4 linked regions of the Arabidopsis thaliana genome follow. The protein of the gene in region 2 interacts with the protein of the main gene of each other region in a pairwise test. Each region holds a gene or a part of one and is shown on either strand. Other genes may lie near its edges. The genes, in order: AT2G28990, PLC2, AT5G10290 and HVA22J.

What was found.
Region 1: the proteins of PLC2 (region 2) and AT2G28990 interact in a protein complementation assay, tested with the Arabidopsis thaliana proteins (one large-scale study listed by BioGRID).
Region 3: the proteins of PLC2 (region 2) and AT5G10290 interact in a protein complementation assay, tested with the Arabidopsis thaliana proteins (one large-scale study listed by BioGRID).
Region 4: the proteins of PLC2 (region 2) and HVA22J interact in a protein complementation assay, tested with the Arabidopsis thaliana proteins (one large-scale study listed by BioGRID).

What each region holds. Positions count from the first base shown.
Region 1 is NC_003071.7:12,452,335-12,460,968, forward strand, and holds AT2G28990 (Leucine-rich repeat protein kinase family protein), read left to right. Parts: upstream 1-2,302; 5' UTR 2,303-2,720; coding exon 2,721-2,790; intron 2,791-2,905; coding exon 2,906-3,443; intron 3,444-4,041; coding exon 4,042-4,517; intron 4,518-4,648; coding exon 4,649-4,793; intron 4,794-4,871; coding exon 4,872-4,943; intron 4,944-5,037; coding exon 5,038-5,109; intron 5,110-5,188; coding exon 5,189-5,266; intron 5,267-5,483; coding exon 5,484-5,644; intron 5,645-5,731; coding exon 5,732-5,982; intron 5,983-6,065; coding exon 6,066-6,192; intron 6,193-6,307; coding exon 6,308-6,373; intron 6,374-6,526; coding exon 6,527-6,716; intron 6,717-6,798; coding exon 6,799-7,207; 3' UTR 7,208-7,371; downstream 7,372-8,634. Other genes in the region: AT2G29000 (Leucine-rich repeat protein kinase family protein), read left to right, coding at 8,447-8,531.
Region 2 is NC_003074.8:2,581,160-2,588,428, reverse strand, and holds PLC2 (phospholipase C 2), read left to right. Parts: upstream 1-2,530; 5' UTR 2,531-2,872; coding exon 2,873-3,172; intron 3,173-3,680; coding exon 3,681-3,877; intron 3,878-3,965; coding exon 3,966-4,101; intron 4,102-4,187; coding exon 4,188-4,424; intron 4,425-4,504; coding exon 4,505-4,728; intron 4,729-4,816; coding exon 4,817-4,934; intron 4,935-5,077; coding exon 5,078-5,230; intron 5,231-5,312; coding exon 5,313-5,399; intron 5,400-5,509; coding exon 5,510-5,803; 3' UTR 5,804-6,067; downstream 6,068-7,269. Other genes in the region: AT3G08530 (Clathrin, heavy chain), read left to right, coding at 83-253, 356-541, 658-780, 894-1,004, 1,103-1,258; AT3G08520 (Ribosomal protein L41 family), read right to left, coding at 2,223-2,288, 2,386-2,397; AT3G08505 (zinc finger (CCCH-type/C3HC4-type RING finger) family protein), read left to right, coding at 6,386-6,396, 6,519-6,606, 6,684-7,269. UniProt on the Arabidopsis thaliana protein: The production of the second messenger molecules diacylglycerol (DAG) and inositol 1,4,5-trisphosphate (IP3) is mediated by activated phosphatidylinositol-specific phospholipase C enzymes.
Region 3 is NC_003076.8:3,233,353-3,240,731, reverse strand, and holds AT5G10290 (leucine-rich repeat transmembrane protein kinase family protein), read left to right. Parts: upstream 1-1,923; 5' UTR 1,924-2,181; intron 2,182-2,333; exon of another isoform or gene 2,334-2,532; 5' UTR 2,533-2,560; coding exon 2,561-2,651; intron 2,652-2,777; coding exon 2,778-2,910; intron 2,911-2,990; coding exon 2,991-3,062; intron 3,063-3,156; coding exon 3,157-3,300; intron 3,301-3,412; coding exon 3,413-3,484; intron 3,485-3,570; coding exon 3,571-3,636; intron 3,637-3,715; coding exon 3,716-3,786; intron 3,787-3,885; coding exon 3,886-4,026; intron 4,027-4,128; coding exon 4,129-4,865; intron 4,866-4,955; coding exon 4,956-5,270; 3' UTR 5,271-5,474; downstream 5,475-7,379. Other genes in the region: MES5 (methyl esterase 5), read right to left, coding at 8-289, 441-572, 686-1,048; MYB92 (myb domain protein 92), read right to left, coding at 6,776-7,379.
Region 4 is NC_003071.7:15,121,553-15,127,639, reverse strand, and holds HVA22J (HVA22-like protein J), read left to right. Parts: upstream 1-2,051; 5' UTR 2,052-2,177; intron 2,178-2,265; 5' UTR 2,266-2,385; intron 2,386-2,475; 5' UTR 2,476-2,499; coding exon 2,500-2,531; intron 2,532-2,620; coding exon 2,621-2,719; intron 2,720-3,145; coding exon 3,146-3,202; intron 3,203-3,309; coding exon 3,310-3,373; intron 3,374-3,476; coding exon 3,477-3,611; intron 3,612-3,720; coding exon 3,721-3,804; intron 3,805-3,910; coding exon 3,911-4,216; 3' UTR 4,217-4,520; downstream 4,521-6,087. Other genes in the region: AT2G36030 (uncharacterized protein), read left to right, coding at 1-81; AT2G36026 (Ovate family protein), read right to left, coding at 1-375; E2F3 (E2F transcription factor 3), read right to left, coding at 4,747-4,844, 4,940-5,009, 5,136-5,379, 5,553-5,629, 5,719-5,784, 5,905-5,953.

The sequences.
Region 1 (8,634 bases), on a different chromosome or scaffold from region 2:
AATGATCAGAACAACCACCGGTTTCGAAAACGTTGTATGAATGTGGATAAGCAGAACACTAGGAATCGTTGACCAAGCATCTATCAAGTTTTTTGCAGACCAAACCCTCTTCTCTTTTGTTACACCATGTGAAACGTGAGTCATGATATCCAAGGTCAGAAAAAGAGCAATATCTTACAATCTCCTGAAAATCTCTCATCCCTGGAGGAGTGTAGGGAGAGTTATCATAGTTTGAATGCTCTCCACCTTCAAGAATTTCATTGAAATCACCACAGAGAATCCATGGTTTGTTACGAATCAACGGCGAGTCGTGATGAGAGCGAATATCTTCCCACAAAATACGTCTCTCCTCCACAAAATTTGAAGCATAAATAAAAGAACAAAAGAATTCTTCTTCTTTACCTTCCAACAGAATCGAACATGTTATCATTTGACTACTCTTAAATACCGGAGTTAGTCGAGCATTGTCCCTCCAAACAACCCAAATGCGGCCTAACCGATGTGATTCATAATTAGTTATAGACGACCAACCACTAAAAATAGACGAAAGTAGTTCAGCTGATCTGCCCTCCTTGACTCTCGTCTCCAGAAGACAACCAAATTGCATAGAACTGTGATTCACCCAACTTTTGATAATGGAATGTTTAGAAGATTTATTTAGACCACGGACATTCCAAAAGAAACCCGACATAAAAATTATTTCTTTTTATGAGCCCTATGACCTGAAACACTAGGGTTACCCTTCGTGTTTTGATTCGCAGAGCTTTTGACCACCTTATGCTGAGACTTTGAGATTCGTGGGATGTACGGACGAGTCCCTTGAACACCAACTGAATCTGAATTATCATTTAATTGTTGGGAGAGAACAACAATTTCTCCTTCCTCATGACCGTTTGTGTCAGCCGTGTCCTCCTCCACTGCTAGGACATCAAAACGAGAAGGAGACGCATGATTAACTACTTCTTGAGGTTGAGGACTCCTCTGCCTGCCTACCTTAGCAGGCGATACCGTGTGCCAGGGACCTTCGTCCTTCAAATTTTCCTCGTTTTCCTCTGCAACTTCCTTTCCCTTATTCTGTAAAACAGTCGGATTCTTCATTGGAACTTTCTGAGTGTGAGAATCACCGTTTAGCGTTTTTGTCAAAGTAGCCGAAGGAGATTTCGATAGTATTTCGAGAGGTTTTTCTTTCATGAGAGGAGGCTCTGTTTTATCCTCTGTTTCTATCTCCGTTGGTGTGGATAGCTGATTGGGTGATGGACGCGTTAGACAAACCTCTTGTATATGTCCCCACTTAGAGCATGAAGAGCATCTCGGCGGCAACCAAGGATACTTATATTCGACCATTGCATCAACGCCAGTTTCAGATTTAAAGCGGAATTGTTTTGGCATTTCCTGTGTTAAATCTGCTTCTACAAATACCTTAGCTTCCTCAAAACTGTTGCACAGAACTGTGTCAGGGTGAAGCTTTTTTGGTTCCCCAATAGGACTTGCAAGAAAACTCAGACCCTTCCAAGTAAACATTGAGCGTGGAACATTTTTAATGGTGATCCACATTGGCATTGTTTTAATTTCTGGCTGAGCATCCTCAGCAACCGGGGACCATTTAGAAACGATCATAGGCATGTCAGCTATGTTCCACATTCCTCTGCGAAGAACCCTAGCTCGGACTGAACTCTCTCTGATTCGGAATTTGATTGTTTTAGTGTCTACCACATATGCGTCAATCTTTACCGTCTTGTCTCCAAGTGGCCAGATCTTGTTCACAATAACGTGAACTTTTGCAATATGCGGAGATATTTGTGGAAACCGCCCTATGAGCAAATCATCCCACAATGGTGTTGAATCTTCAAAGATTTCATTTGGGACTTGGACAATCGAATCACCGTTGACCATTGTTACGTTGAATTCATGCTTCGAAAGGGTTGGTCTATTCTGAACAATTGATGAGTATGATGGTTTGGTCGTTTCTGGGGAAGCTTCTGAACTTTTCGATGTGCTCTCCACCACCATCGCCGTCGACATGATGGGGGAAGACGGCGGAAAAGCCGCCAGATCTGCCAGATTGGGACACACGGTAGTGAAACCCTAAATCGCCTTCAAAATCGCCCTGCCACGTCAGCCCTAATTTTTTACCTTTGATTGATTGGTCTATGATTAGTTTGCCGCTGAAAAAATCAACAAAATATAATGTGTCAGTGAATAACATGATTTTTCTTTTTAATCAAAAAACATGATCTTTGTATACTAATTCTGAAACTTAATTATATATATTCGATCCAATCTAGTAAACTAGTTTATAGGACGGGATCCAAACGAAATACTTATCCACGAAAGAAACCTTTATATATCTTTGTGCTCGAAAGTTTTCTCATTCGTTATTTTGGTGGCTGACTACTAAATGAAGATATACCAAATGATTTTTCTTCACTCAAGCAATTTAAGCACATAGACAAAGTAAGATCATCTGGCGATAAACCATACATTCGTGGAGGAAATATTCCTACACATGACGAGTCTCCTGAACATATACAACTATTCAACACCAGATTGATTATTTCCACGATCATTATTTAATTTTCTACCCGGAGTTGACTTTTGTATATTTCATTCCAACTTATACATGAGGTATCTCTCAGTTCCATATCTTTTGCAGTTTTCCCTAAGCAAGTCTTTGTTTTTTCTTGAGTACTAGAGAAACCGGATAGTGATCGAGAGAGAACATGAAGATTCACCTTTTGTTGGCCATGATTGGAACCTTTGTCGTTATAATTGGAGCCCAGGATCAAGAAGGTAATGATATATACCATCTCTTTCTTGTTTATAAATCAATCCTTTGACTTGTGATATGTTATATAAGAATGTATCAATATCACTTTTCCCATTTATTGCTTTTATATTTGAACAGGTTTCATCAGTTTAGATTGTGGATTACCTAGTGACGAATCTCCTTACGATGATTCGTTTAACGGATTAACATTCACATCGGATTCCACTTTCATCCAAACAGGAAAAATTGATAGTGTCGATAAAGATCTTAACATAAACTTATCAAAACAATATTTGACTCTTAGATACTTCCCAGAAGGAAAACGTAATTGTTATAGTCTTGATGTCAAGCGTGGCACAACTTATCTCATCGTGGTTAGCTTTGTATATGGAAATTATGATGGTCTTAACCGTGATCCAAACTTCGATATCCATCTTGGTCCCAATAAGTGGAAAAGAATAGATTTGGATGGAGAGAAAGAAGGTACAAGAGAAGAGATCATACACAAAGCCAGGTCAAACTCTTTGGATATTTGTCTTGTTAAGACAGGAGAAACTTTGCCAATAATTTCAGCCATAGAAATACGGCCACTAAGGAATAATACGTATGTTACACAATCTGGTTCGCTGATGATGTCTTTCCGGGTTTATCTTAGCAATTCAGATGCATCTATAAGGTAAGTCAATCTATTTGAAGCATTCAATGTGACGTTTTTCTTTTGAATAAAATTTAACATTATTCTTTTAAAAAATGTGAGGTTTTTCTCTCTTTTTTTTTCTGGAGAAGATATGAATGAGGGGATATGTTGACTTTACTTGTGTTAAAAACATCATTGTTGAATGATGTGTTCAAAATTTTAAGACTCCAACGTAACTACATTATGCCAAAACTATATGGCAAGTCATTGTAACAATTGAACAAAGAACTAAGAACAACGAACTAGAAATAAAAGATACTAATATGAGCTAAGAAAACAAATTTTTTTTTTCTTTTTTTTGTTCACAATTAAAACTAAATTAATTAATTGAAAGAAAATAAGCAAGAACCAAACAACCAAATCAAACATACAAAAGACTAACATTATTGTAAATCAAACTAAACAAGCAACGATAAATGAAATTGAATGATTGAATTCATTATTAAAAAAACGAGCCAAGGTGATTGACTCGGATAGTTGCCAACTAACTTAGTTTTTGGTATCTTAGTTTCATAGACTAGTATTTGGCTAATACAATTTACTTATTAATTTATGTGGCTAATAAAATTTATTGTAGGTATGCTGATGACGTCCATGATCGTATTTGGTCTCCATTCAACGGATCTTCACATACACATATAACAACTGATCTCAATATAAACAACTCAAATGCATATGAGATTCCAAAAAATATACTCCAAACTGCTGCCATACCAAGAAACGCCAGTGCGCCGCTGATTATTACGTGGGATCCACTACCCATTAATGCGGAGGTATACTTGTACATGCACTTTGCGGAGATTCAAACCCTTGAAGCCAACGAGACGAGGCAGTTTGACGTTATCTTGAGAGGAAACTTTAATCATTCAGGATTTAGTCCAACCAAGTTAAAGGTATTTACATTATACACAGAAGAACCAATGAAATGTGGTTCAGAAGGTTGTTATTTACAGCTAGTAAAAACACCGAACTCAACTCTGCCACCTCTGATCAACGCTATTGAGGCATACAGTGTTATCGAGTTCTCACAATTGGAAACAAGTCTTAGTGATGGTACGTACCTCTCAGCTTTCAATATTACAGGAATGTAACTTATATTATAAAGTATAAGCTATGATATTGATTCTTACATTATATTATAAAGTATGATATTGATTGTTACGTTCTCTTAATAATTGTGTCAGTGGACGCTATCAAGAACATCAAAAATACTTATAAGCTGAATAAAATCACTTGGCAAGGAGATCCATGTCTCCCTCAAGATTTGTCGTGGGAAAGTATTAGATGCACCTACGTAGATGGCTCCACTTCACCAACAATCATTTCCTTGTAATGTCATTCACAAACTTACTCTTTAATTTAAAATTTAAATATCTAAATATTTTGTATGTGTTTTTGTATTATTAGAGATTTGTCGAAAAGTGGATTAAATGGGAGTATACCCCAAATTTTACAAAATTTCACGCAATTACAAGAACTGTAAGTATCTCTACTGTTGATCACCTGAACCAATAATGATTTATTTGGACAGAATATGTAAGACAATTTCTTTTGTTTGTGCATATAACCACAGGGACTTATCAAATAATAGCTTGACTGGACCGGTGCCTATCTTCCTTGCCAACATGAAAACGTTATCTTTAATGTAAGCTATCTAAAAAGCATAAATGAACATTTTGACCTGCGTATGTATGTATATATAATGGTTATCTTTGTCTCAACAGAAACTTAAGTGGGAACAATCTCAGTGGTTCAGTTCCTCAAGCTCTTCTTGACAAAGAAAAAGAAGGACTTGTGTTAAAGTAAGATTTCCTTTTCCATAGAGGGAATGCATTTACTAATCATATAGTAACAAAGTAGAGGAACTTCATTTTTGGAGACTATTTAACTGCTAGATCTTTCTTAATTAAGAGAGTTCATGTCGATTAAATTATCGCAAAATATGGTACCTGACAGTTCGATTATTGCCTTTCCTATGCAAGCTATTTACAATTTCAAAATATGTCATATTCATTGTAGACTTGAAGGAAATCCAGATTTGTGCAAATCCAGTTTTTGCAATACCGAAAAGAAAAATAAATTCTTGCTCCCGGTTATTGCATCAGCTGCCTCTTTGGTTATTGTAGTTGTGGTTGTGGCTCTTTTTTTTGTCTTCCGAAAGAAGAAGGCCAGCCCTTCAAGTAAGTTATGAGCCATTAATAATTTGTTTACCTGCTATAAAGCAATGCATATAGTTAGCATATAACCAAATATACTATCATATGTAGATCTACATGCTCCACCAAGTATGCCTGTATCGAATCCCGGGCACAATAGTCAATCAGAATCATCATTCACATCGAAAAAAATTAGGTTTACTTACTCTGAGGTTCAAGAAATGACAAATAACTTCGATAAAGCTCTCGGTGAAGGAGGATTTGGAGTCGTGTATCATGGTTTTGTTAATGTTATTGAACAAGTAGCAGTTAAATTGCTATCACAATCATCTTCTCAAGGCTATAAGCATTTCAAGGCAGAGGTACCCTTTTTCTAGTAATTCTCAATAGATATCCAATTGATTTGTATATCTCTAAGAGTGTTGGATGATGGATGATTGGTTAGGTGGAACTCCTTATGAGAGTTCACCATATAAATTTGGTGAGTCTTGTTGGGTATTGTGATGAAGGAGAACACTTGGCTCTTATTTATGAATACATGCCAAATGGAGACTTAAAGCAACATTTGTCAGGTAATATCACATATATAATTGTTTTCTTAATAAAACCTAACCATGATATAATTTTTTTTTCTGAATAATTAAAGATCATAACTAAATTGATATGAAGTGTGTTTAATTGATACAGGAAAGCATGGCGGATTCGTCCTGAGCTGGGAAAGTAGACTAAAAATAGTTTTGGATGCAGCACTAGGTATTCATTAAACTTTAAGACAAATGTTTAGTTAATAATTACAGCTTTTATGGGTATTAGTATGGCCTCGACCGGATCAGAAAGGAACCATATGATGATATCGAAATTAATCTCCATTTTCCAATAAACGATGGTATTAAATTTAATATGTAGGATTGGAGTATTTACATACTGGATGTGTACCACCAATGGTTCACAGAGATATCAAAACTACGAATATACTTCTAGATCAACATCTCCAAGCTAAATTAGCTGATTTTGGGCTTTCAAGATCTTTTCCCATCGGAAATGAGAAAAATGTGTCAACTGTTGTTGCTGGTACTCCTGGATATCTTGATCCTGAGTGAGTATAACTTCATATGTTAGTTCCAAAATCACCATTCCTTTTTTTTACTTTACAATCACAACAATTTCTTGTTTTGCAGGTATTATCAAACAAATTGGTTGACAGAAAAGAGTGATATATACAGTTTCGGAATTGTACTGTTAGAGATAATTTCAAACCGTCCTATAATCCAGCAATCCCGTGAAAAGCCTCACATAGTGGAATGGGTCAGTTTTATGATAACAAAAGGAGATCTTAGAAGTATTATGGATCCAAACCTCCACCAAGATTATGATATTGGTTCTGTCTGGAAGGCCATTGAATTAGCAATGTCATGTGTGAGTCTTTCTTCTGCAAGACGACCAAACATGTCTCGAGTTGTGAATGAATTAAAAGAATGTCTTATATCCGAAACCTCTAGGATAGGTGAGGGACGAGACATGGAATCAAAAGGTTCAATGGAATTCAGCAGAGACATTTATAATGAGGTAATACCTCAAGCTCGCTAGCTCGTCAAAATTTATTCTTGCTGGTTTTTCTTCTCATGAATATTCAAATTTGTGTGTTTCAAGAGTGTCTTTCGCCAATAATAACTAAGGCTTTCACTAATAACATGTAATACTGATGTTGAATTGTCGTAGTGTGATATATATTTTGTGAAATACATATGGTGAAATTTATTGAAATTATTTCATGAATTTGTAACCCACAACTAATTCTCGTCTTTGTTTCTATCTCAAGAAATGCATTAGGTTGTTCCCACTTTCGGTATTTTGAAAACCAAAGGAAGAGTTGAATATACCAAAACTTATGTATTTCCTTCAAAACTTAAGAGCTGTTTATATTTCCTTCAAAAGAAGATAAATAAAGAAGATATAAATGGTCTAATAAACCAAAAGTTGGTCAAAATTTAGTCTAAATATAAAACATGAACGTAATAGAACTTGTTTACAAGCGTATATCTCGTTGATCCTGAGTTTAATAAGATGTATAATAGTAAATGTTACGAAGAACTCCAATAATGAAATATCACAAGACAGATTTATCTTGTGGAGAGGGTTCATCATGTAAATGTTTTTTTTTTTTTCACCATGTAAAGTTGGTAATTCTTGTTGTATATTGTTTTAACGAAGACACACTTCGACCTAGTCTAGTACACAACCAGTGGAGATTTAAAACAACATCTATCATTCAAATTGGACAAAGAAATAACCGAATCCAAGGAACCTTGCATTGGATTTAGGATTTATGACAAAAATTCTTCGCAAAATGTTTCCACGCCAACCTCTCTATAAATAAAGGGCCACAAGAACATGCATGAGTGAGAAAAATACATTTTCGAGGCGGGAAAGATAGACTAAATTTTAATTTTAATTGTAATTCATAGCTTGAAATTTTAAAATTATACAGCTACTTGGCTCCTTTATCAAACAACGTGCAAAAGTATAGTGATTTTAAGACCACGATTTTTTGTGCCACTAGAGACGTGCTTGCATCTTTAGAAATGGACATTTTAATTTTATGGGAGAACTTTCCACAACCCTAACTGTTGAATATATGTTCTAAATGCTAATTTTATCCAAGTTTGCCTCTTTTATTTATTTTTGTATCCTTTTAAACTCTTTTTATTCGTTCATATATGTTTCCTTTCCGGCTGCTACATTTCAAGAGGTCGAGCAGACCATAACTCTATCATTTATCTTAGTTAATTCATATACATAGGAACCTTGGTAGCTTCATCTTTCAAAATGGAGGGTCATCGAGGATTATTGTTGGCACTGATAGTCAACATTTTTTCCATTGTACACCTTGTTCATGCTCAGAATCCGGAAGGTAGTGTATCGATTCATTGTAGACTTTATACATGAAATTCTGTTTACATCAGAAAATCCACATTTCAGATCTCAAATTTCTAATACTTTCTCTCTCTTTCTAG
Region 2 (7,269 bases):
TAGAAGCTGACTGATGACTTTGTTTTTTTCTATAAAAACAACTGAGCTACATTACTTAACAATTGGTTTCTTCTGATCTCAGGCTGGTCACTTGCGTCTTATCAAGCCATACATGATTGCAGTTCAGAGCAACAATGTCTCTGCTGTTAATGAGGCTCTGAATGAGATATACGTGGAAGAAGAAGACTACGATAGGTTGCGAGAGTCTATTGATTTACATGACAGCTTTGACCAGATTGGCCTCGCTCAGAAGGTAAAGTTCAAATATACTACCCCTTTAATATTTTCTCTCTTTAAAAATGGAAAAAGAATGGCCTTAGAGATGATATAATCTTCCTGTGAATGGTGCGAACAGATCGAGAAACACGAACTTGTTGAAATGAGACGTGTGGCTGCTTATATCTACAAGAAAGCGGGCAGATGGAAGCAATCAATTGCATTATCAAAGAAAGACAACATGTACAAGGACTGTATGGAAACGGCTTCACAATCAGGCGAACATGAACTTGCAGAACAACTACTGGTGTATTTCATTGAACAGGTATGATGATGGTTAAACATTTACGAGATGCTAGTGCTAGCCATTCAGTTTGGTTAGTTGAAAAGAATTGGTCCAGACGTTGAACGTAGTATCCCGTGTCTTCTGCTGTTATACAGGGCAAAAAGGAATGCTTTGCTACATGTCTCTTTGTATGTTATGACTTAATCCGACCAGACGTGGCTCTAGAACTTGCCTGGATCAACAATATGATGGACTTTGCCTTCCCGTATCTCCTCCAGGTGATCTATCCTAACCCTCAAATAAACTCTTTTGATTCTCTGCTCAATGAGGTTGGAACCATTATTTGAACGCTATGATGAATTCTCTTCTTCCTGTCGTTTTTTCTTTGCAGTTTATCCGAGAGTACTCTGGCAAAGTGGATGAGCTAATAAAGGACAAGCTTGAGGCACAAAAAGAGGTGAAGGCCAAAGAGCAGGAAGAGAAGGATGTCATATCCCAACAGGTACTACTTATGACACAGCTACACTGGATATCATCCGACTCTTTATCTTGACAGATACACTTAAAGGAGTAATATGTTTTTCTTTTGTTTTTAAACAGAACATGTATGCCCAAATGTTGCCACTTGCTTTACCTGCACCACCGATGCCAGGAATGGGAGGTGGTGGTGGGTATGGTCCTCCACCACAAATGGGCGGTATGCCAGGAATGCCTCCCATGCCACCATATGGAATGCCACCGATGGGCGGCTACTAAAGCAGACCAGCTTATGCTTTAATATCCGCATTTGGAAAAGTATCAGTAGCGCATAGAGTCGGCCCAATTTGCTAGGGCGGTGTTCATCTGCTAGCTAGCTTATATGTCTGACCAGAATTTGTCTGGGAATAATGTGGATAATAACCTCCTTTCGTTGTAATATTCTGTTGGGTTTAGGTGAGTAATTTTTTTTTAACTTTTTGTCAAAAGCCATTTTTGAGTATATATACTCAACTCTCTTACTCATATGAGTTTTGTAGTTGTACTTTCCTTCAGCATTTCATTCCATTCGACTTTCGATTTATTAAACCGTTGATCAGTTTCACCTTGTTGTTATTCATATATGAAACAATTAATATCGAGAAGGACTAAATAAATCCTTCATGAGAATTTGGTTGACCTCAGAACAATCATCATCATTCATCAGCATCAGAAAGACATAGATGCAACGTGAATCTCATTTTCATGAAATAATAATGAAATCTTAGGGTAGGTTTATTTCACATGTACACATAAAAACCTAAGTACCAATAGTCATCTGAACATCATGAACTAAAAATTGCATCCCTCCGTAAACACACATTTCTGCTACATTACTAAGAAAACGTTCTGGATAGAAAGATTCAATCAACCCAACATACTTTGTTTTTATTAGTATACTTAGATGACATACAAATTCACTTGGTATTTCTAATATCAAAAGTTCAACCTTCACCAGGATAAAACTCATCCAGCGCAGACACTAACTATAGATAATCAATTAAACCAAAATGATAAGCAGATTGAAGAACTTTAAGGAGAATCAGTAACTCATAAGGATCATTCCATGTAATAAACATAATTCTAATAGAAAACATAGATTCGATTTGGTCCAACAAAACATTCAAATTGAAAATTGCAAAACCAACAAAACTCACATAAGAGTTGGTTCTAAAAAGAAGAAAGACAAAACAAACTCCCGAATCTACTTAGATCGCTGTCTCATCTTTCGTCTCTTCCTCTTCAATCTCCTCATACGCTTCTTCTTCCACTGCAACACACAAACACACAAACCATAAAGATCCTACACACTACTTCAATTTCTCATCACTAAAAAATCCATTAAACAATCAAAACCCATTACTAACCTTGGCTCTCATGCTGATTTCGCAGAAGCTGTCTCCTTCGTTCCTCTGATTATTTGTTTAGCTTTACAGGATGAGGAGCGGCGGAGATGAATAGAAAGATTTTGTAGCTTACGCTCTTATTCCTCCTTTAAACAACAACAAAACCCTAGTAACTAACTTAATGGGCTTTATTATTTCAAAAGCCCAATAAAACCCAAATGGATAAGAATTTGCCAGAGGGGATATTCGCACAGAGAGAGAAAGAAGATCTTTTTCCGACAAGGTTCAAGATCGATTAAACATTACATGGAGGAGATTCACTAGAAAGAAAGGAAAAAAATCTCTTTGTCTTTGCAGATGCGACACGCAAAACGACGATTCTGATCTCGCTTGTCTGATTTCAAAAACAATGAGAAGATAGTTCTGATTATATAACACACAAACCCTACTTCATTCCTTCATCATCGTCTCCAATCATTACCCAAAGATCCGTCTTTTTCTTTACTTCATGTCGAAGCAAACGTACAAAGTGTGTTTCTGCTTTCGCCGGAGGTTTCGTTACACTGCATCGGAGGCACCGCGTGAGATCAAGACCATTTTCGAAAAGTACTCAGAGAATGGAGTTATGACCGTTGATCATCTCCACAGGTTTCTGATCGATGTTCAGAAACAAGATAAAGCCACCAGAGAAGATGCACAGTCAATTATCAATTCTGCATCTTCTCTTCTTCATCGTAATGGTCTCCATCTTGATGCTTTCTTCAAGTACCTCTTTGGTGATAATAACCCTCCTCTTGCTCTCCATAAGGTAATTTTCGTGTTATTTCGATTTTATGAGTTCAGAATCTGAAGTAAACTATGATTGATTGATATAAGAAACTCAGATTTTGGATTGGGATTTTTCGTTTTCCTTGTTTGGTAATTGAGGAAATGGTGTGAGGAAGTGAGATTTTTGGAATAATTTGTTTGAATGTTTCACTGAGTCTAATCAAGAGTTCGAACTTCGAAGCTGCTGTTTGGTAGAAAGTCGTAGGAGCTATGTACTTTTTAGGTGTTGTGGAATAAGTCTGATTCAAGAATTTGAAGCAATAGAATTGTTTTTCTTTTTATGTCTCAAAAAAAAAAAAAAAGTTGAGAAAGTAACATATCTAGGAATGTGACATTTACTCTATTAGGAACTCTGACACAAAAATCCATGATACAAGTAATTAATATTTTTACAATTCCGGCTATACATGTAATTGTGACTCAATTGTGCTAGCTTTTATTTTCAGATTGATTATAGACTTATCTCTAATGAATTTGTGGTGTTTCAGGTGCATCATGACATGGATGCTCCTATATCGCATTATTTCATATTCACTGGTCATAATTCTTATCTGACTGGTAATCAGCTGAGCAGTGACTGTAGTGAGGTACCTATTATTGATGCGTTGAAGAAAGGTGTTAGAGTCATTGAATTGGATATATGGCCCAATTCCAACAAAGACGATATTGATGTTCTTCACGGAATGTATAATTTTGCTTCAAATTTATTTCGAAAAACAAGTCAAGGTTAGGTGCTTGGCGTTTAACTTGTTTACTGAACCATTCTTAAACAGGACTCTCACTACACCTGTGGGGTTGATCAAATGTCTCAAAGCTATCAGAGCACATGCCTTTGATGTATCTGACTATCCTGTTGTTGTAACTCTTGAAGATCATCTTACTCCAGATCTTCAGTCTAAAGTTGCTGAGGTAGCTTTTTATTTTGCATTTCTTTCTTTGCTGCTTTAATAGATGAGTACATTGGTTTTGAGATGTGTTTTCTTGTTGTATGATAGATGGTTACTGAGATATTTGGGGAAATTCTGTTTACTCCTCCTGTGGGAGAATCTTTGAAGGAGTTCCCATCGCCAAACTCTTTAAAAAGACGTATTATCATCTCAACCAAACCCCCAAAAGAGTACAAGGAAGGAAAAGATGTGGAAGTGGTGCAGAAAGGTAAAGACTTGGGGGATGAAGAAGTTTGGGGAAGAGAAGTTCCGAGCTTTATTCAGAGGAACAAAAGTGAAGCTAAGGTGTGTACGAAGACAAATCATTTTCATTCTGTTCTGTTGCTGTTCATGGACAAACATGTTAGTTTTCTTTCTTGTTGCAGGATGACTTAGATGGAAATGATGATGATGACGATGATGATGATGAAGACAAGTCTAAGATTAATGCACCACCCCAGTATAAACATTTGATTGCAATCCATGCTGGGAAACCAAAAGGCGGAATTACTGAGTGTTTAAAGGTAGATCCTGACAAGGTTAGACGCCTTAGCTTAAGCGAAGAACAACTTGAAAAGGCAGCAGAAAAATATGCGAAGCAGATTGTGAGGTATAGTCATATTATGTTTTTATGTTTCTAAGTAATAGTTGCAGTTTGTCAACTCAATATGAATCCTGTTAATCATGGTGTGGCGCAGGTTTACTCAGCACAATTTGCTGAGGATATACCCAAAAGGAACTAGAGTCACATCATCAAATTACAACCCGTTGGTTGGCTGGAGCCACGGTGCTCAAATGGTGGCTTTCAATATGCAGGTATCTCCTTCTGCTATATTACCAACTTCTTTCTACGTAGTAGTAAAACTTCTAGTTATTTTGGAGGAGCTATGTTCCATCATTTTACAGGACATCAACCTTATTCCTCAGCTGATTTGATTGTGATCTTTTTCCATGTACAGGGGTATGGAAGATCATTGTGGCTAATGCAGGGAATGTTTAGAGCCAATGGCGGATGTGGCTACATCAAGAAACCTGACCTTCTGCTGAAAAGTGGTTCGGATAGTGACATATTTGACCCAAAAGCTACTCTACCTGTGAAAACAACACTTAGGGTGAGATATCTGATTCTCTGGTTGGTCTTTCTTTTACCAATTCAAATCCGATCAAACTCAGTGAACTTATTCTTTCCCTTAGGTAACTGTATACATGGGAGAAGGCTGGTACTTTGATTTCCGCCACACACACTTTGACCAATATTCACCGCCTGACTTCTATACAAGGGTCAATTTTTGATTCCCTGCCTTAAACCTCACACAAATGTTTTGAGATAGAACTGTTTCTTGTCTCTTATGCTTGCAATATAACAATTTGAGCTTTTGATGCATATTCAGGTTGGGATAGCTGGAGTTCCAGGGGATACAGTAATGAAGAAGACGAAAACACTGGAGGATAATTGGATACCAGCTTGGGATGAGGTGTTTGAGTTCCCATTAACCGTTCCAGAGCTGGCCCTGCTACGATTAGAAGTGCATGAGTATGACATGTCAGAGAAAGATGATTTTGGAGGACAGACATGCTTACCGGTTTGGGAGCTAAGCGAAGGAATAAGAGCATTTCCTTTACATAGCCGGAAAGGAGAGAAGTACAAATCCGTTAAGCTTCTCGTGAAGGTGGAGTTTGTGTGAGACATGATTAAGAAAGATACAGCATTTAAACTTGTCTGGTAGGTTTGAGTGCCACAGAGTTTGTGAATTTGGAGGATTTGTATGTGTGAGAGAGAATGTATGCTTGATTTGTTGTTTGTAATATTATGTACATAAAAGACGAAAGTGAGAGAGAGAGAGACGGTCTTGTATCGTGTGTTGTTGTATTATTATGTAGTAGTCTCGTGTAACACTTGAATCGTATGATGATTTGTGGTTTTTGTGTAACAAGTGTGTTTTAAAACTTGTTTGATTCCATTCCACCAAGAAGGCTTCAAAGAATTTTCTTATGTATCACATAAAACTGATCGAATTTCCATAAACATAACCAATCACACCCCATAAAACAAAATTGGCCAAAAAGAAAAGAGAAAGGATATTTTAGTAAATGAAAGAGAGAGGTGGTGGTGGAGGTGGAGGAAGCGCGCTCTATCTCAAAAACGTTGGGGTCTGCTTGGTCCTCAACAATTGAAAACCGTACAAATTCAATTTCTTCACATAAAGCTCTCTCTTCCTTCTCCATTCTTCCACCCTTTTTTTTCTTCTCTCCGCACAAATCCCCAAATGTCCGATAGGTATCGTAATCCCCCAACTTCTCGATTCATCAAACTCTTCAATTTTGTGTCTCTTTGATTGGTGATAAAGATTGATTCTTTCGTTTCTGGGGACGATGATTCATTTGATTTCTTTTTTGTAGGATACTGTGCAAGTTCTTTGTCCATGGCTCGTGCTTGAAAGGCGAAAATTGCGAATTTTCCCATGACTCTAAGGATCCGCCCAATAATGTAATCTAATCTCTTCTCAAGTTTCCTTCTTTTGATTCATCAGTCCCAAATATTTGACTCTTGGTTGTATAAATTAGGTTTGCACATTCTATCAGAAACGAATATGTTTGTACGGAAGTAGATGTAGATACGATCATGTCAGAGCTGCTTCCAATCTTCCTCTTAGCTCAGATTCTGAGTCTTTAGATCGCTCTATATCCACCACCCCCTCTAGGCATTTGCAACAACAAGGCGATAATAATGACGGTGACAAATCCTCTAACGTTTACTGTATCCACCCTAGAGAGTACCCGATCTGCTCTTTTGCTGCAGCTGGTGATTGCCCTCGAGGTAACCAGTGTCCACATATGCATGGTGACCTCTGCAATACTTGTGGCAAGAAGTGTTTGCATCCTTTTAGACCCGAGGAACGAGAAGAGCATACGAAAGAATGTGAGAAGAAGCAGAAGCACATTGAGGCTTTGAAACAAAGTCAAGATATTGAGTGTAGTGTGTGTTTGGATCGTATCTTGTCAAAGGCTACTCCAGGGGAAAGGAAGTTTGGGCTGTTGACTGAGTGTGATCATCCGTTTTGTATACAATGTATTCGTAATTGGCGTAGCAGTGCTCCTGTTTCGGGAATGGATGTCAACAGTACGTTGAGAGCTTGTCCTATATGTCGCA
Region 3 (7,379 bases), on a different chromosome or scaffold from region 2:
AAGATTATTACATATAATCGGTGGCAATAGCAGAGAGAGAGTCAAAGAGTTTTTGGGGTTTGGAGAGCATCACCATGTGATCTCCGCCATCGATCTCGTAGACTTTCGAGACGTTGAAATTATCAATCATCCAACGAATGAAATCGCAGGGGATGGCTTTGTCTTCACTACTCATTACGTAAACTCGTTGCACCGAACCATATCCTTCCTCGCTAAACTTTTCTTTCTTTGATAGATCCTCTGTGAAAAATGACCCTTGCCTATGCAACATTTTTGCCAGCTCGTAATCCTTCACAGTGTAACCATCATGTAACCACACACCAAAACTAATTAATAATCATCTCATACGATGATTCATATTCGAAAACTTTAGCACATAGTTTGAATATAGATTTTGTTGTTTTGGCGTAACAAATTTTAGAGATTTGTGGGAACAATACCTCTATGGGACAATTTTGGTAAAGACGTGCCTTCATGAATTTTGGTCCCATCTTCAATAAACTCATCGTCCCATTTCTTGTTTCATGAGATGAAAACTCACAATCTCCCAAACCTCCAGGCATCTCCATATACTTTATTATTATCATCAACCAAACCAAGAATTATTTTCATGGTATTAAGATAAGTTGGTCAAATTATAAAAAACTACTAGTATCAAAATTATTTTTGTTATTTTATTGTTAACCTTGTCCAGAACGTGAGAAGGCACGTGGGTTGTGTCGGGCAAGAAGGCGTTGAGGAACACAAGAACCTTAATCTTCGCCGGAAATATGTCGGCGGCGAGAGCGATGTTGATGCCTCCGAAGCTGAATCCAACCAGAATTACCTCTTCGTTCTCTGGAAGAGATTTGAGGGTTTCGATCAACGGTTTGGAGTATTCGTCGACGGTTTCAACGGCCTGGATTGGTCGTGGGTCGATCCCGGAGGCGGCGAGTTCGACAGCAGTAACGCGGTGGCCGGCTGATTCAAGGAGGGGCTTGAGCTTGTACCAGATCCAGGCTCCATGATAAGCGTTGTGAACTAACACGAAGTGATGTTTCCTCTCCATATGTCTCCGTAGACGTTTTCTTTTTGGTTAAGGTTCTTTGCTTGTTTGAGAATAGCGTGATAAAGTTGGGATATGAGTATGACGTTATTATTATATAGTGATAGTGGGATAAGGTTCATATACGTTACGCTGTTAATAACTTCTTATGTTATGACACATGTTCAGATTTACTAGTCTCCTCGGTCGGCTGTTGTATACTTTTGTATACTTGTATTTAGATATATTTTAAATAAATAAAGCAGAATTCTGTAATCACACTTAGCTAAATTACATTAATTTTTTTGGACATTTAAAAAAATATATGAGTACATCACAGTTTCAATCTAATAACGGACCAACACATGTAAGATTTTGACATCCGCGATTAGATGGACGTAAAAAAGGCTTAATTAACGGAACTAATTGAACACGATAAACACGTGCCTGTTAAGTGTTAACCGACCTAATCTTCATATTGATCTGAGAATCTTCACAGCTTCCCTTCCTTCTTTGAGTCTAGCCGGCCCATGGGCCGTGAAACACTGTGACTGTGACTCTCTTTTATTGACTCATTTTAACCTTTTCCTTTTGCCTTTTGGTACCAATTTTTAACTTTTCCTTTGTACAGGGAGATTCGCTTCCTTTTTTTAGGCTGGCCATTTCGTCTTAGTGAGTGGTGTATAGTTGGCCATTTCAGTCAGCTGTATTATAGCCTCATTGTCAATGATGTCGAAAATCATTCCTCAATTTACACAATGGTTGTCAGGTAAAAAACAACGAGAGTTGATAAGTAGATTTAGGAGGGAAAAAAGAAAAAGACAATTTAGTTAGTCTTCTTTTACATCCACGTAATTAAATAGCACATCGTTCCAAACATCATTATCAAAGTTCATTAGTTATTTAGGGAAATTACAAGTTGCACGGAGAAAAAGCAGTTCGTGGACCAACATTGGACTTTTCTTTCAGACAAAGGCCATTAGCGAGCGAGAGTGATAATTGCGAAATTGCCAAAAAACGCAAAGTCTACCACTAGACAAGAAAATCGAAGCTTTTCACTTTCTCTTTTTTCTGTTTTGTTGTCTTTGGTTCTACTCTCCGCACTGAATCTTTCGATCAGCGATAATTGTTTCCTTCTTTTGGGATTTTCTCCTTGGGTACGAGGTTCTTTCCTTCTTTTATTTGCTCTGTTTTTGAGATTTGGAATTGTTATCAAGTCTGACAAAATTGGTCACTAATCTTTCTGGGAAATTGAGCATGTTCGTGTTCTTGCATCCGTTTGACTCTTTTTCTATGCAAAGTCTCAACCTTTCAATAGTGGAATTTATTCTTATCCCTAATTTCTCTTTACCAGACCTATTTTTAGCTAAGTTTGGTTGAATTTAGAAAGTCTTTGATTCATAGTTGAAGAGATTCTCTCCATTAATCTTTCTCTGTAATGTGTCAGATCCACTAAAAGTAAGTAAGAAAAAGATTTTGTTGTAATGTTATTAAATGTGTCTTTGTAGATGGAACCAGCTCAATTAATGAGATGAGATGAGAATGTTCAGCTTGCAGAAGATGGCTATGGCTTTTACTCTCTTGTTTTTTGCCTGTTTATGCTCATTTGTGTCTCCAGATGCTCAAGGTGATGCCTTTTCTTACTTTTCAACTGCTATTTTGTTGCTCTCATTTCTTGTTTCGTTTCTGGTAATTTCTGAGCTTGTTCAGGTTGAAGATTTAACTCTATGATTCTTTGCTTTTCCATTTTCAGGGGATGCACTGTTTGCGTTGAGGATCTCCTTACGTGCATTACCGAATCAGCTAAGTGACTGGAATCAGAACCAAGTTAATCCTTGCACTTGGTCCCAAGTTATTTGTGATGACAAAAACTTTGTCACTTCTCTGTAAGTTTAATGACAACTCTGAATTAGTCAATGTTGTTTCCATGTGAGAAGATTTATATTCATGTCATTTGTGATTGCAGTACATTGTCAGATATGAACTTCTCGGGAACCTTGTCTTCAAGAGTAGGAATCCTAGAAAATCTCAAGACTCTGTAAGTGCTTTAGATTGAGTCTCTCTTTTTGTCTGAAATCCTAGAACATAGATATTAGGTTGTGAGCATTTCGCTACCTTCTTTTTATATATAGTACTTTAAAGGGAAATGGAATTACGGGTGAAATACCAGAAGACTTTGGAAATCTGACTAGCTTGACTAGTTTGGATTTGGAGGACAATCAGCTAACTGGTCGTATACCATCCACTATCGGTAATCTCAAGAAACTTCAGTTCTTGTAAGTAGTTCCGCCTCACAATGCTGTTAAATCTTGCACATGTTTTAAAACATTTTTAAGACGTAGAAAAGGATTACTCATGTCTTTATTCACTTGTGTGTTGGCTAAACAGGACCTTGAGTAGGAACAAACTTAATGGGACTATTCCGGAGTCACTCACTGGTCTTCCAAACCTGTTAAACCTGTGAGTTACTGTTCTTTGTGTTTATGCTTACCATCTTTCTGGAAGCATCCTTGTCTTAATTCCATTGTTTGAAACTATGTTTACAGGCTGCTTGATTCCAATAGTCTCAGTGGTCAGATTCCTCAAAGTCTGTTTGAGATCCCAAAATATAAGTATGTTTGACTACTTCAAGTTTAATCTAGCATGCTCATTTCTTTAGCAGTAATTTGATCTGTTTCTAATCGACTATAGTTTCACGTCAAACAACTTGAATTGTGGCGGTCGTCAACCTCACCCTTGTGTATCCGCGGTTGCCCATTCAGGTAAACTACTTCACTTTGCGATTGCTCTGACCGCATTTTCTTTATTTTCAACCATTTCAAAAGTATGAAAGACTGAAAACATCTAATCTGCGGTGATAGGTGATTCAAGCAAGCCTAAAACTGGCATTATTGCTGGAGTTGTTGCTGGAGTTACAGTTGTTCTCTTTGGAATCTTGTTGTTTCTGTTCTGCAAGGATAGGCATAAAGGATATAGACGTGATGTGTTTGTGGATGTTGCAGGTCTGTAATATACCCTACAGGGAAACCTTTCTTTCGTATTTCGTATTTCGGTATGTTATGATGTATTGATATGCAGATTTGTGGAACTTTACTATTTTTCAGGTGAAGTGGACAGGAGAATTGCATTTGGACAGTTGAAAAGGTTTGCATGGAGAGAGCTCCAGTTAGCGACAGATAACTTCAGCGAAAAGAATGTACTTGGTCAAGGAGGCTTTGGGAAAGTTTACAAAGGAGTGCTTCCGGATAACACCAAAGTTGCTGTGAAGAGATTGACGGATTTCGAAAGTCCTGGTGGAGATGCTGCTTTCCAAAGGGAAGTAGAGATGATAAGTGTAGCTGTTCATAGGAATCTACTCCGTCTTATCGGGTTCTGCACCACACAAACAGAACGCCTTTTGGTTTATCCCTTCATGCAGAATCTAAGTCTTGCACATCGTCTGAGAGAGATCAAAGCAGGCGACCCGGTTCTAGATTGGGAGACGAGGAAACGGATTGCCTTAGGAGCAGCGCGTGGTTTTGAGTATCTTCATGAACATTGCAATCCGAAGATCATACATCGTGATGTGAAAGCAGCTAATGTGTTACTAGATGAAGATTTTGAAGCAGTGGTTGGTGATTTTGGTTTAGCCAAGCTAGTAGATGTTAGAAGGACTAATGTGACTACTCAAGTTCGAGGAACAATGGGTCACATTGCACCAGAATATTTATCAACAGGGAAATCATCAGAGAGAACCGATGTTTTCGGGTATGGAATTATGCTTCTTGAGCTTGTTACAGGACAACGCGCAATAGACTTTTCACGTTTGGAGGAAGAAGATGATGTCTTGTTACTTGACCACGTATGTATAATCAAATAATCCTACCTCGAAGTAGCTTCTCTCAAGCTTTATTGACCGTAATCTTTTGGATCTTTTTTTTGTTTTGGACAGGTGAAGAAACTGGAAAGAGAGAAGAGATTAGGAGCAATCGTAGATAAGAATTTGGATGGAGAGTATATAAAAGAAGAAGTAGAGATGATGATACAAGTGGCTTTGCTTTGTACACAAGGTTCACCAGAAGACCGACCAGTGATGTCTGAAGTTGTGAGGATGTTAGAAGGAGAAGGGCTTGCGGAGAGATGGGAAGAGTGGCAAAACGTGGAAGTCACGAGACGTCATGAGTTTGAACGGTTGCAGAGGAGATTTGATTGGGGTGAAGATTCTATGCATAACCAAGATGCCATTGAATTATCTGGTGGAAGATGACCAAAAACATCAAACCTTGAGTTTACTGTAAAGTTGCCAACTTCACTTTTTTGTTTTGTTCTTCGGTGAAGAAGTAAAATCAGTTGTATAAATCTTGTTTTTGTTTCATGATGTATCTTTTGACTTTAATAAATTCTGTGAATGAAAAGAACTATGATGTTTTGTTGACTTTTTTCGTTGACCGCAAGAAACCTTTTTGTCGTCTTATACTGTCAGGCCTATTACAAAGTTGTCGTTTATATGGGCCTAATATGGGCTTTTAAATACATGTTTTCTGTCCCAAGTTGTCCTAGTTTTGCCAACTCAATTTATGATTTTTTTTTTTAATTATATCACAAAATAAAGATTTCTGTATTCTCTGACATGAAAATTAATATTTATTATTGAAAAATCGTTGTTTTCATATTTGAATAGAAAACAAGAAGAACAAAAAATTAACATATTTTTAATCATCTCTAAATTGTGTTAGATACAATAGCAATGTATTTTAAAGATTTTTATGTTCATGATCGAAAATATCCAAAAATATTTAAGATTGAAGAATGGATAATAATATACATTATCCATTGACAAAAAAAATCTATACATCATTATCATTTGGATACGGATGAAGTAAATTCCCTAATTGCACAAGATCTTTACAAGCCTCGATTATGTGTCAATTCAACATTATAACAAAATTAATAATAATAAAATAGATTCAATGAGTGATTTTTCTATAAAACCTAATGAGAGATCACTTTATCTGACATCACATACTTAAAGGGCCTTGTCTTTTAATTATTATTAAATCTCTACTTGGCCTTTTTATATTATCGTTAGCCAGCCGATCACATGCTTCTTCACTTCTTCCATTATTTGATCGATCTTCTTGGCAATCAAATCAACATTTAGACTTAACCAATGATATAATGAAACAACTCAACATTCAAGCTCTAATATGTGTTGTTTTAGAGCAAAATACGTGGTCTTTCATATGTTAACATATTTAAACTCTAGTCTCTAGCTTTAATTTGTTTGATTTTCTGCTTAAAGATACACAAACTGCTCTTTGATTTTTTTTGTGTGTTTTCATTCACATAATAACAGTTTGTCTATTATTTGTTATGACATCTATATTCATACATGATCCGAATGTTATCACTTATCACCATGGAAGGAAGTGTAAAACAAAAGATTCAAATAATCAGCAAAAACCCTAATTATTAAATACCATACAACTACAACTACAACTACAAATGATATCCATTTCACAAAAATCTTATATATATATAAACTCTGTGCACAGAGACATATGCTAAAGAACATTGACAACAACATATGCATATGAGTATGAAATCTCTGTACTGTACATTCTACAACATGAGTTACAAATATATGATGTCTCTACAGTATTTATATATATATAGATAGGCAAATAAAAATCTCCAACAAGCACAATTCCAAGAGTAAATTTGATTTGAGTTCCTCCAAAGTACATACCTGAAAGTAAAGACAAAAGAAGGCTAAGGAATGTCGGAAAATATAGAATCATCCAATAGATGATCAGGCCATGCAGCTGAAGCTGAAGCTCCTGATTCTTGACCGCTTGAAGATGTGATATTGCTATTGACATCTTCAATACCGTATTGGTTAAAAATCAGATCATCATTCACATGAGCAGGAGTTGTGCTGGATGGATCCGAGAGCCAGATTGGAGACACGGGTAGGTTTTCTCTTTGAGTGGAGAATTTGAAGTGATTGTCATCAAGATTCTGGGGGAAAACAGATGATGGTTCCATGTTGGAATTTAGGGTTTTCAGGGAAGGTAAGCTGTGGAAGTCCTGAAGATAAGAGCCGAGGAAACCGAGGTCGAGATTGTTGCTGGTGGTATTATTACTGGTCTCTTTGAAAGAGGCAATAGAGTTAAGGAGACTGAGAGTGTCAAAGTCATTAGGGTTAACATTGTTACTCATGGAAGACGGTTGAAGAAGGTATTGGAACAATTGGAGTTTGGCCATCTCGGTTTGGAGTTTGAGTATAGTGTGTTCTTGATCAATAGGAAACTGTTGTTGCAGATCAACAAAGCCTCTCAGGTTAGAAGACAAAGACATGAGCTGAGATAAGCCG
Region 4 (6,087 bases), on a different chromosome or scaffold from region 2:
GTGGAGAAGCTCTCTGAGATCGTTTTTGGAGTAAATCTCGTTCTCGAGAATCATCTGAAGCATGGACTGTCGGAAATCTAGGTAAGGATCGTCTGAGTCTTTCTCGACGGCGACAGCGGCGGCGGAGGGTGTTGCCGAGGAGGAAGAGGTGTCAGAGAACCAGTGGGAGGTGGAGGGAACGGCGGAGGAAGAGGAGGCCGTGGTGGGGGTGGAGGAGTGGCAGTGGCCGTAATTAGAGGAGTAGAGGCGGGGCTTTTTGGGGGAAGGGTTGAAAAAAGAAGACAAGCTTGGGAACTTACAGTTGCCACAGCCGATGTCTACGACAGAGACTGCCTTAAGGACCATCTTCTTCTTCTTGCTTTTGCCTGTCGTCATTGCTTTGCTCTTTCTTTGTCTCTCTGTCTCTTACTCCAAGATGAAATAGATTTTAGAGAGAGAGTGTGTGAGGGAGAGTGAGTCTACTTGGATTGGTATTAAAGGGTGCATGTGGTGACTGAGGTGGATTAATGAGAAGTAAACTCTTAGCAACAATATTTAATTTGATGTTCAATGACAGTTTATAATTTCTTTTAAATTTTTGTGAGCTTTTAAAAATATGTTAGTAAATGTCTACATTCATGAGCATTAATGTGACATATACTTACTCCACTGATCTATGAAAATTATGAGATGTGAATATAGGATTATTATTTAAGTTGACTATAATGAACTATAATGGTATTTCATATATAATTAAGCCTTCCCATTACGATTTAGGTTCTAGTTGGACGATCTATATTTTTCTTTTTGTCAAATCTAACCTTTTTTTTCTTCAAAAAGTCAGATGATCTTTAGTATGTCATTTGCATTCAATAGTTATACTATACGGTCGTTAATTCATTTCATACACAATTATTTTAAACTACGTTTTAAATTTTAATTCGAATATATTATTTTTTTAGGATTTACACATGGTGTTAACAAATATTACAAGAGAAGTTGTAGAAGTACTCAATAAGAGTTTGTTTTACATGGATTTGTGTTGGGCCTTCATGAGCTTTGTACAGCGCCTTTACAACACTCAAATAAATTGTCACTCAAGGGATATAAACCCAAAGGCCGTAGCTCCTCCAACACAAATCCAGACCACTCTTTGTTTCCAGTATTACTATTATTCCTCTAAGTACATTAGAAAGGTGTATAAACTTTGTTTTACAACATATAATAGAAAAATAAACATTACTGTTAAACAATACAAAACTTTACAGAAAACGTACAGTATGTTTAATTATTGATAGATTAATATTTAGAGGCCGATGAAAGGTGGAAGTTTTTTTATGGGAACCTGGTAGACATAGAATGTTGTAATAATATTGTCCATCAATCTGATTTTCGATTTGAGATTACCTAGTGTAAAATATAAGTAACATAAGTAACAACTCACTTATGATCACTGCACTATTAAGTACTTCTTCCTCAATTCCTTATTACTCCAAATTCTACAAAAAAAAGTTTGTTGCAAAAAGATACAAATTTTAATTTTTCTATACAAATTTTAAGTGTGGAAATTGTTAATCACAAAAAATAATACATTTAGGATCAATTTTTTTCATGTGTGAAAAACTTAGAATTTGGATTAATAAGGAACGGAATTATTTTGAGTTTATGTTTGTTTGGAAAAAAAAAAGACTAGGTTTGCTTCAAATTATCCATTGAATAAAGGATGTTTAGATGAGATTTTAATGGATTTCAAAAGATATTCTAGTAGTTTATAGAATTTCGTATTTAGTATTTTTTTTGAAGGACAGCAGAAGAATATATATTTATTAGTGTAAAATCAGTCAAACTTAATTAATTTGATTCTTCAAGGACTTTTTTTGTAAATTCATATGAAGCGTCGAACAATGTTAAATAACGAGGATAATGAGACAACGGTCAAACGGTCAAACGGTAAACCCGTTCCTCTTACCCCCAAATTCAAGTAGCTTTTGTGGCAAGAAACCGTTTACTTTTTGTAATTTTTTTGTTTGTTTATTGACGTTTATATATTTCTAAAAAAACTAAACCCTGATGTATTCCAATTTTAGAACTTACGCGTCTTCATAATCTTCCTCTTTTTTTCTTTGTCTTTGATATTCAAAGTTTTTGTTTATTTTTTCTTTGCTTAACCCGGAGAGACACCCTCTCCATAAATTTAGGTTTGTTTATAACAACTTATACATATTTTTTTCTCTTCTAATAATAAAACTCTGTAACCATTAAACATGGTTTTGATCTCATTTGCAGTTTTGATCCCTCTGGGTTCCTTGAAGAAAAAAACACCAATTCCATTCATATTCTTCTTCATACGTTCAATAATTCTTACGAGGACGAGATCTTCCTAACGTCTTTGATCTTCTTCATTAGGTTCATTTGCATTTGTTAAACGCTTAAAAATGGATCTATTCGTCTGATATATATATGATTGTTGAATCGGTTTTGTTATGATTGTAACAGGAGATAAGTCTAAACTGGTCGAAGATGTTGGGAGATTTCATCATCAGACTCCTTGTGTATGTCCTAACCATATCTCTTTTTTTCTTTTGATTAATTAATCATGTATATTGATGTATATATATAATTGAAATGGTGAGAATGGCAGATTGATATTAGGGTACACATACCCAGCATTCGAATGCTTTAAAACGGTGGAGAAGAACAAAGTTGATATCGAGGAACTCAGATTTTGGTGCCAATACTGGTATTGAATTATTTATATATGATCCCCTTTTTTCTATCCTCGATACTTTTAAACATTCATATATAATGTGTAGTGTATGTAGTAGATTTGTAGTGATAGGCAAATCGATTTTAGTTCGATCATAGTGATATACTTTTCTCTGTTATGGGTTTTTGTTTGATTTTAAAAGAGAAAAAAAATCAAAATTCCGTTAAGTTGATGTCTTCTGCTAGAAAAACCATTTATGAATACACCTCATCTTTTGTACAAGTCTTTGGTTTCGAACGTTGATTATATACCTAGTCTGGGGATTACTGGGACAATTGTATTAGGTTTATTTTAAAGATATCTCAATATATGTGATGCACGTAATTCTAATATGATAGTTTATTGTCAATATGTACTCGAAAATATTAATTTGTTAAACATTTGTATTTGAATAATTAGGATACTTTTGGCGCTAATTTCATCATTCGAGAGGGTTGGCGATTTTTTTATCTCATGGTAAGTAAGTTTTATTATTAGTTAATTCATGCCTTAATCCATCTCTGTCTTAAAAAATATTAACAATCATCAAATAATTAATTGATATATGCAATTATTATTTGCAGGTTACCGTTATACGGAGAGATGAAAGTAGTCTTCTTCGTATATCTCTGGTACCCTAAAACAAAGGTAATATAATTTTTCCTTTTAAAAAGTGATTAGTTGGATCATAATTAATTAGTGGTTTATGGTGATGTACAAATAATAATAACGAAATAAATAATGAATGAAGGGAACGAGACATGTGTATGAAACATTGTTGAAGCCATACATGGCTCAACACGAGACAGAGATTGACAGAAAGATCATGGAGTTGCGAGCTCGAGCTTGGGACTTTTTCATCTTTTACTTCAACAACTTCGCCCAGGTCCTTTTTTAAATTATCTTTCTATTACTTATATATACAAATTGTTCTTTTTAAAGGTTTGACTAAATTATTATAAGATTAACAACATACATATAATGTTGATGCACAGGCCGGTCAATCCACCTTGATCCAGGGTTTTCAGTACGTACTCGCCCAATCGGTCCGGTTCTCTGCCGCTGCAGCTAACCAACCGGTACTTTTCTATCGCTTTTGATTTTCGTTTTATGTACTAATGCAAACACAATCTTGTGTTTATTACCTCCCTTTTGCACTTTTGAATTTTTGTGTTTGTGCTAAAGCCAACGGAGAGGAACGTGAACATGAACGCGCAGTCACCGGTGGAGATGGACAATGATCCTCCATCACCGCGCGCTCCAAGACCGCTGAACAAATCACTATCTGCGTTGCGATCGCTAGAGAAGCAAACAAGCAGAGGGAGGAAGTGGCCGCCACCAACACCACCACCAACACCAGGCCGAGACTCCGCCGGAACATTTAACGGTGATGATGGAGTCAACATTCCTGATACAATTCCGGGATCACCCCTCACTGATGCTCGAGCTAAGCTGCGACGTTCTAACTCCAGAACTCAGCCAGCGGCATAGTAACGCAAACGTACATATACGTGACTCGACAAAGAAACCCTTTTCGTTTGTTTAAAGATATATAGGGAAAGAAAAGTGAATGAAAGTTTTGAATTGAAACAAAACAGATTTTTTTTTTTTTTTCATGTTTTCTGTAAATTGAAGCAGTAAGTATTAATACAGCGAGAATATTTGTGTTTGTTTTCGTTTAAACTTCCCGCTTTAATCCGGATATTGATTTGAGTTTGGATTTCTTCATATAGCTGATTATAAAGATGCATTTGAGTGGTCAAAAATATTATAATCAAATAGTGTACCAATGCAGCCGATGAAGTACATTCTCTGTTAAACTTACATTAGTTTCTCGGTGCTCCTCTACAACATCACTCTAGGCGATAAATGAATCATAATCTAATGGTACATTGTATGGAACGCACCTGCCATTGGTTCATACACGTTCTGTAGTTGCTCCCTCCTTGTATATGATTTTAGGGAGTGTTGTGAGGTAACACATTTGGGATCAGAAGTTGAGAAGTGTGCTTGGTATTCGATCATCTCGGGGTTGAGTCAACAGCTGTTGGTGCTATTTCGCCCATTCCTGGTGGTGGAGTACTCACGTCGGCTATTCCATAATCCCAATCGATACCAGCTTTTGCTAGAGTTAAGGATTGCGTATTTATATCTTATGCAGATAGATATAGTTAACTATAAGAGAGAAACAAATTGCATATATGCAAAGGATACAGTCAGTTTTCCAAATATCCGTCATGCTAATCTCAGCATTTGAGAGAAGCCAGTAGTCCGACTCATCATTCTGCAAAATACAAGACCAATATCAAACAACAATTATGAGGGTAGATTTTGAGTCAGGTTAATTAGTTTCTCTGCACAACTTCCTATTTCTATGTTCATTATAAAAATAAGCAGGAAGATGGCTTACTTCAACATCAGAGGGAGTAATCTTAAGCATTCCTCCTACTTGCTCTTGCAAATAATTAAGATCAGAGGTATCGCCGGGTTGAGGATGAGGATGATCATGAGACACAATAGCAGTTTCTGGGTTGTCAACAGTTAAGGCTTCGATGTCATGGTGTCCTGTAGATCCTGAGCTAGAAGCAATAGGCAAGCATGCTGGTGGTGCTGCACCACTCCCATTTGTGTCTTCGAATTTCCCTTCAAATTCGCTGAACATGAAGACAAAGTAAAAGCATGTAAACGGGACAATGAATGTTCCAAATCATAGAAATCTTTGTTTTGATACGTTCAATTATATGTATACCATCATCAGTAGAGTATATGAAGTCACGGAAAATGCCAATAACAATGTTTCTATTATTTGAAGCCAACGCATAAATACCTGACGAGGTATACGTCAATAGGTCCCATTGTACTTCTAAGAATGATCCTGTATCTCCTTTGTGGGTGGTCAGCCGCCTGTCAAGTAAAGAAGAAACATTATAATAACGTTTTGGAATCTAACAAAGAATGGCAGATGTCATCCAAGGTCGCTGAAAAAGACTAACTTCATCTGGATCAGGCACTTCCAAAGTTGTGCCATGAGGAGCTTTGACGGCTATCAGAGTCTGGTTCTGCAGAAACAGCAAAGAGAGAGTTAAGATATAAGTGAACAAGAAAGTCTTGGGATCGACATACATACAATCAATTGATCAAATTCCTAGGATTAAACATATGAAATAGGAAAGACAGACCTGGAAACCTGGTAAACTCTTGATATCCTCTTCAGTTACAAAAAGCCATCTGGACAATGTGAACGGATTGGTTAAGTGTCCATCATATAAATAGCACCATCTCATAGCCAGAACAAACTAGCCATACGAAAAGATAGATAGACAGAGATTTATACTTCTGATTCTTTTCATTTTCGCTCAGGT